2 linked regions of the Diceros bicornis minor genome follow. The protein of the gene in region 2 binds, or shares a complex with, the protein of the main gene of each other region. Links are inferred from orthologs where the notes say so. Each region holds a gene or a part of one and is shown on either strand. Other genes may lie near its edges.

Evidence for each region. Proteins that work in one complex are often made in the same cells at the same time.
Region 1: CORO2A (region 2) and GPS2 share a complex: the UniProt entries of both Homo sapiens proteins name them as parts of the N-Cor repressor complex. The link is inferred for Diceros bicornis minor from reciprocal best matches to the Homo sapiens genes CORO2A and GPS2.

Annotation. Positions count from the first base shown.
Region 1 is NC_080757.1:10,978,680-10,982,423, reverse strand, and holds the start of GPS2 (G protein pathway suppressor 2), read right to left. Parts: upstream 2,876-3,744; 5' UTR 2,763-2,875; intron 2,618-2,762; exon of another isoform or gene 2,552-2,617; 5' UTR 2,483-2,551; coding exon 2,389-2,482; intron 2,007-2,388; coding exon 1,897-2,006; intron 1,818-1,896; coding exon 1,705-1,817; intron 1,567-1,704; coding exon 1,487-1,566; intron 1,396-1,486; coding exon 1,313-1,395; intron 952-1,312; coding exon 798-951; intron 691-797; coding exon 601-690; intron 508-600; coding exon 428-507; intron 340-427; coding exon 244-339; intron 65-243; coding exon 1-64. Other genes in the region: NEURL4 (neuralized-like protein 4), read right to left, coding at 3,602-3,744. UniProt on the Homo sapiens protein: Key regulator of inflammation, lipid metabolism and mitochondrion homeostasis that acts by inhibiting the activity of the ubiquitin-conjugating enzyme UBE2N/Ubc13, thereby inhibiting 'Lys-63'-linked ubiquitination.
Region 2 is NC_080767.1:8,386,049-8,389,792, forward strand, and holds the start of CORO2A (coronin-2A), read right to left. Parts: upstream 2,549-3,744; 5' UTR 2,439-2,548; exon of another isoform or gene 2,392-2,438; intron 1-2,391.

The DNA.
Region 1 (3,744 bases), on a different chromosome or scaffold from region 2:
GGTTCTGGCTGTGCTGGATGAAGGGGAGCCGAGGGCCAGGTTGGCTGGTTGCTGCAAAGCCCGACTGGTGGTGGCGATGAAAGGAGGGCTTTGTCAGTATGCATATTCTCCTTTCTTCATACCCTTACTGACAACCACCCCCAAGGAGGAAGGAAAAAGCAGGGGTGTGGGCTACCTGTCCTACCCAATTCTATTTTCCCTGGTAGTGTAGGGGTTCTGACAGGTTTGGTTACCAATCCTTACCTTTCCTGCTGGTTGCATCTGCACAGGGAGCTGGGGGGAGGCAAGGAGTCCAGGGGCTGGATGTAGAGCTTGGGGGTGCATGGGACGCAGGGAGGACTGCAGAGAAGAGAGTTAGAATCAGAGGCAGCCTGGGGGTCCCCTTACTGTAACCCTTTACCCTGACCTCCCAAGGCTCCATACTCACTGAATCAGAGAAGCCAGTCTGCTGGTTAGCGTGTTCCATCTGCTTTTGCAAGGACAAGGCACTGCCAGGCTGGAGGAACCCTAGGTGGGGAAAAGCAGTGTGTGAAATGAGTAGACAACGGGAAAGAAAAAGGGAGGACTCAGAACTGGGGTCCCTGCGTGGGGTGTTATCACCTGTCTGGGTGGGCTGGAAGTGGCTGTGCACGGCATAGGGCTGTGGCTGTGGCTGAGACAGGTACTGCACTGCAGGAAATGCTGAAGGTGCTGAGAAAGGCAAGAGGCACAGCCATTAGAACCTTCTTTAGCCTGATTCTGACACTCCTCCCTCTGGGCCTTGAGAAAAGCCCCCCTCCCTCTTTCCCACCACTCACCTCTGAGCTGCTGACTAGGACTATAGGCAGGCTGTGTGGGTCCATAGTGAGGTGGGGGCTGAGCAGTCCCATAGGCGCCGCCTGGGCTACCTTGGAATTGCCCGTGCTCTGGGGTCCCTGCGAAAGCAGCTGCTGAGCCCACATAGTGCCGGGTCTAAGGAGAGAGGATGAGAACTCACTACCTGTAAACTCCTTGAAAGCAGAAACTCCAGGGACTTGTGTATGCCCCGTTTTTCCCTATACAGTTAAGTGTTTGATACATTCATGTACTGCATAACGACGTTTCGGTCAACAATGGACCACATATACGACGATGGTCCCATAAGATCACCACCATACAGCCTAGGTGTGTAGTAGGCTATACTATCTAGGTTTGTGTTAGTACACTCCATTATGTTTCTCAGAACATATCCCTGTCGTTAAGCAACGCATGACTGTACTGGTCCAGGGAGGATGCCTGGGTCTGGGTGGAAGTAGGGAAAAACAACAGGCTAGACACCCAATCCTCCTCTTACCGTAAGCACTTGGGGTCCAAACATCTGTTTGGCTCTGTCAGCTGCCATGAGGGTGCCTGGGCGATTGTGTCCTCCAGGGCTCCCTAGAGAGGGAGAGGGGCTTCATGATGCTGAAATGGGGGGCTGCAACCCCCAGGAGGGCCCATTCTGACAAGTGGTTTCTGTACTCCTCACCCTGCATGCTGAGGAGGTGAGTTCCTGTGTGGACAGTCAGGCCCTGCTGGTACGCAGCTGATGTCAGAGTGGTCAGGTCACTGGAGTGAAAGGAAGGCTGGTCAAAATCAAAGACAAGTCCTCCCTCTTTCATTATTAAACAGGGACCTTTTGTTACCTGATCCCAGTTACACTTTGCCCCCAATTTTATTTATTTATTTTTAGCTCTCCAATCCCACCTCTGCTCCTTGCGCCTTCGTTTTTCTTCCTCATGTAAAACTTTCTTGAGCTGCAGAAAAAGCTGGTGCTTCTCTTCCTGTAGGGCCAAAAGCTTCTCCTGCAACTTCAGGATCTGGGAAGGGAGGGGAGAGAAGATGAAGGCAGGAGAGCTAAGGGAAGGAAGAACTGGGAGAGAGCAAGGGACTGCTTACTTGTTCCTTTGTCTCCTCTAGTGACATTCTCTCTTCCATCTCCTTTTTCTTCCTTCTCTCCTGCTCTTCCTTCATTTTCTGTTCCATCATCTTGTCCACTTCTTCTTCCTCTGGAGAAAGAGTCAGGCAGAATGAGCAAGTTGCAGTGTGGTTAAAATATAACGTTAGAGATTGAAGAACAGCAAAAACTGGTTATCCCAATACTTCTTTATGCTCTTAGTAAGGGCTCTTTCCCTCTTGAGGGGACAGGCTTCCCCATCAACGCAACAGGGGACAGAGAGAGGGAGGTTTTTCTAGGTGCTCTCCAAGGTCCTTCCCAGCTCAAGGGTTCTGGAGTTTAGACCTGGTCTCCAACTCCCACCACAACGGGGCTGTTCCTTCCCTCCTCTAACTTCGACGGCCAGCGCATTGGTCGGCCCGTGGGTCGGAGTCAGCCCTGGGGTAGCGGTACCGCCCTGGGCCGTGTGTCTACCCGCTTTTGCCCCGGCTCACCCTGGCGCTTGCGCTCCCGCTCCATCATGATGTGCCGGTGCAACGCCCTGGCCATGGCGTTGGAAAGCTTGGGGCGCTCCAAGAGCGCAGGCATGGTGCCGCCGGGGGCGCTCGGGCTGTGGGTGCCCGACTCTGTCACTGACTGCCAGACCTCGGACCGGGCCTGAGGGCAGACGGGCGCTCAGAAGGGACCGCACCCGGCCCAGGCGGAAGCCCGCCCGCCGCCCCGGTCACGTGTCCGGCGCCCGCCGCCCAGCCCGGCCCGGAAGACAGCCGCGGCTCCACCGCGTGCGCGGGCGGGGCCCGAGTCTCCGGCCGCGGCGCTCCCCGCCCACTGCCCCGCCAGCCCCGGGCGCCGGCCCCTCCCTACCCGCCTTCTCTTTGCTTTCTCCGCGGCCTCCTGCGCGCCTTGGCCGCTGCGTCACATCCGGCAACTGGCCCGAGTCCTTCCGGAGTCAGGGCAGCAGCCGGCCTCGCGGGTGGGGCGGAGAGGGAAAAGCGGAAGCGCCTGCGACGGGTGCCCGTCGCGTCCAAACCCCGTCGCTGCGCCTCAGCCGGCGCTGCTCCTGGCCGCGCGCCAGCCGCGGGGCGCCCCAAGCGGGCTCTGGACTTGCGGGCGGGGCCTCTAATTTGGCGGGGCCGGGCACAGCGGGGACAGCCCCAGCGGGCAGGGGATCCTCCGAGGGGCACGCGAGAGAGAGGCGGAGGCGGGTGCTTTGAGACGGTGTTTATTGGCTCCTTAGAAATCAGAGTCAGTAACAACTGTACAGAGGGCCCCCATCTTGCCTTGCACCCGCCCTTCCCCACTCCCGCCCGGTGGCCCCCGGAAAAAGCAGCTTCATGTGGGGCACAGGGAGACTCCTCTGGGATTCACAGTAACCAAGAACAAAAACGGAAATAAATTAAGTGATATGGGGGAGGGAATCATAGGGAGTCGTGTTCCCCAAATCAGTGCATGAAGAGGAGTTACCCAGGGCCTGGAGCTGGGCTCCCCACAAGCTCCCTCACCTCAGAGGGAGTGTTTCGCGCCCTGGACATGGAGATGTGCTCCACTTCCCATCTAAATCTGAGAGCCTGCCTACACGCTCCTGTGCATTTGCCAGACTGAGCACCTGTGCATGCCATGGGTCACTGGAATGAGTTGGAGGCAGTCGTCACTCAGAGTCCACAGGCCCAAGGCCCAACTGTGCTTGTAGTAGTGAGGTCTCACCCCTCATTCCACCCGTACCAGCAAGGCATAGAGGAGTGTGGCCCCCTTCTCCTTGGTTACCCACTCAAGTTCGGCTGGGGTAAAGTGAGGGTCAGGAGATTCTCTGAGGGCAGTGGAAGGGGGACCAGGGGTGTAGGAGCCAGGGC
Region 2 (3,744 bases):
TCACAGGAGAAGGCTGGGGGCGAAGGGCAGTTAGGGTCATTTTCACGGACTTTTGTAACAAGCTACCAGATTGCCCTGCAAAATTACATGCCACCAGAGAATCCCTACAGCTTTGCCAGCACAGAGGTTTATCTTTTTCTATTTATTTTTGCTAATTTTATAGGAATAAACACAGACTGCTTTTGTTTACTATGTGGTATGTGTTTTCAAACACACACACACTCTGGTTGTGGAATCAGGATCCTTAGGCTTGGCTGCTGGTTTACTGTGACCTTTGACAAGTCACATCTCCTCTGGGGATAGGGGAGGCCTATCTGTAAAAGGGGGGTTGGATGAGATAACTTCTTAAGATCCCTTTCAGCTTGGACATTCCATAATTCCATGGTGCATTTTCAAATTATTAGCATAGCATGATAATTTTTTTTTTTTATGAGGAAGATTGGCCCTGAGCTAACATCTGTGCCCATCTTCCTCTATTTTGTATATGGGACGCCACCACAGCATGGCTTGACGAGTGGTGCGTAGGTCCACGCTCCGGATCCGAACCTGTGAACCCCGGGCCACCAAAGCGGAGCATGTGCACTTAACCACTACGCCACCGGGCCAGGCTGGCCCCACATGATAATTTTTAATAACTAGAATCTGCCATGCCCCTAAATCAGGCCCAAAAGGCTTAGACCAGTCGAGCAAGAAAACAGGGCCCTGATGATACACACGTAGATAGGATGGGAGACTTAGGTAGCACTTAAGCCTGTGTGTCGTCTCTATGCTTGAGTGAGAGCACATATACTTAGTCTGCTTTTACGAGGGGATGATAACATTCATCTGTGGTCCACTCCGAGTTCTGCGCAGCTCCACCATGGCCAGAAGGCAAGGTCGTGGTCACTCTGCTTCAACCCTAGACTCCCAGACTTGTAGTCAAAGGCAGCTCATCCCCAGCAAGTGCTCATCCAGCCTCTACTTGCATACCTCCAAGGACACAGAGCTCACCACTGCTCAGGAGGTCTCTCCCTTCTTTTGACTGTAAGAAAGCTCCTGAGTGAGGAATAGGTCATGAGGGGTACAAGGGAGACCAGAAGGCCCAGACTCAATTCTCAGAAACTAGTCCCTCAGTCAGGGCAGGCAGCAGGAGAAGACAGGCAGAGGATCTGGGGCAGGGAGGCTGGAGAGGGCTCCTCTGGCTCCTCCCCTCCCTCCAGACCCCGAAGGCAGCTGCTAACCCAAAGGTGTGCAGGAAGTGCAGGAAGCACAGGGGACACAGTCCAGTCCTGATGAAGGCCGCTCCTGAACAAGCCCCACGCTGACCACTGCTCGCTCTTGGGGCAGACACCCACCTCCCTGTCTTGCCTTTGCTCCCTTTGGCTCTGGCAGGAGAAACAGTGCCAGGCCTGGGGCTGTTTAGCTGGAGGAGGTGAGCAGATTTAAGGGACCAGATGATGGCCCAGGAGAGGAGGGGTCAGATGTTGTCTCTGTGCCCAGAGCAGGACCAGCAGATTCCAGCTCTGTTTATAGCTAGTGAGATCCCCATCACAAGGGACATGCAAGACCTTCCAGAGGGGATCTTACTGAGGGGCTGGGCCAGATGCCAGAGGTCTTCTTTACCCAGAGAGCCTGGATCCACAGTCCCTCAGACATGTGCTCTGTCTCAGACCCAACTGCACCTAGACACAGCTTTCTTGGCACTGTGGCCCCTCTGGGGTCCACACACGGATGTGAGCCAGCGCTATCACACCCGGCTGGGACACAGAGCTGGGCACCAGCACCTGACCAGGCAGAGAAGAGGAAGGGGACATCCCATACCATTCCCTAAATCCAGGTTGCCTGCATGGGTCCGGTCCAGGCAAGTCTGCGGCTGAGAGGCCCACCGCCTCCAAACCAAGGTTCCCCCAGCCCCAGACCGCGAGGCAGACTTGGCGCGCAGACTCGGACCGCCCCGCCCTGCATGCCCAGGCCGGCTCGCCAGGGACCTGGGGTGTCCCCCGCTTCCCGTTTCCCCTACTCGCCCAGCAAGTCACCCAGCTAAGACGGGGAGAGTCCCAGCACGGGTCCCGCGGGGCATCCCCCACAGGAGGCCTGTCGGGACCGGCTCGCCACACCCAGGGTGAGCGGCCCTCACTGCGGGTGGGCTGTGCAGACAGTGCCTATCCGGGCTCCGAGACGTCGGGAGCCTGGAGCTCGGGGCGGCCTCTCCCAACAGCCCGGCGAGGAAGGGGCCATCACTGCGCCCGCTATCCCGACGGGGAAACTGAGGCCTGGAGAGGAGCAGTGCTTTGTGCAAGGTCACGCGGAGGGGCTGGAAGCCAGGTGCCCCGCGCCCCGCCGGGTCTCCGCGGCGCGCCGAGCCCCAGCATCCCTCCCCGGGCGCTGCAGCCCGCCGCGCGGCGCGCCCACCTCGCGCAGGCCGGGAAGGCGCGGCCGGCGGCGCGGGGCCGCCCTACCTTGACGACGGCCGCGCAGGTGGCGGTGGCGGCGGCGGCGTCCGGCTCCGGCTCCGCGCTCCTCGCCGCCCGCCGAGTCCCCGCGCCCAGCGCCGCCGCCTCCGCGGCAGCCCGGCGGGCGGGGCCGGGGGGCGGGCCAGGGGCCCGGCACAAGCCCCGCCCGCGCGCCCCGCGAGTCCGCGGGGCCACCCCTCCTTCCCTACCCGCCCCCCCCGACCGCGCCGCTGGCCCCGGAGCTGGTCTCGGGGCGCGCACACGCGCACAGCGCCGGCGCGCACACGCCGCAGTGACCGGGGCCGGCTGCGCGGCGACCGAGCGGAGGCTGGGGACGGCCAGAGCCGCCCGCCCGCACGTCCGCCGCTCCCTCGCTGCGTGGCGTGGGGCGGGGGACTCGACCTCCCGGAGCCTCAGTTTCCCCCTGGGTGAAATGGAAACAGTAACCGTGTCTGCCTCCGAGGGCTGTTCGAGAATTAGATGGGAAGGTGTCGTTTACCGGCCCGTGTGAGCGGGCACGCAGAGCCCGCCACAGGAGGAGCGCTCGGAAACCCGGAGGGCAGAGGGATTCCGGAGGCCGCCCAGTCGGCCCCGAGGAACGGGGCGGGGCTGGCCGCCGCAGTGTGCGGAGGACTCCCTTCCTTCTCTCGGCAGCCAGGAGGGGGCGCTGCTGCCCACTCTTGGCTGTGAGGTCCTGAGCATCCTAGGCAATGCGGAGGAGATGGGGAGGCCCAGCGTTTTCACGTACCACTGGCCAACACCTCCTGAGCCAGGCAGTTTCAGGCACCTTAAATGCATTACCTCACTTCACCGTCACACAAGCCTATGAGGTTACACTAATACTTATCTGTTTTACACATAAGGAAGCTAAGGCACAGAGAGGTTAAGGACTTCACTTAAGATCACACAGCCAGTAATTCAACCCTAGGCAGTGTGGCTCTGAAGCCTGAGCTCATAGCCACTCCACCGCACTCTCTCTCTTGAGAAGTGTATTTCACTTAGCCACTAGTATTAGCCCATTTTACACATAAGAAAATTGAGACTTAGAGTGGCTTTGAACTTGGGAGCTCTTGATTATCTCCTTAGAAAGAACAGCGGGGGCCAAAGGCTGCGACTCAGTGTTCACTGTTCACTGGGCCCCTCCCCTGCCTGGAGCTGGATGGACTCCCCGCCCACCGTCCAAAGCCCAGCCCCTCGGTATGGCCCTCAAAACCTCTGCCCTGCGGCCGACCCAGGCTTCTTGGAGCTGGACTGCTCAGCAGGCCAACTGAGTGTGGCTCCGGGCATCGGCATAAAAGAGCTGGATATTTGA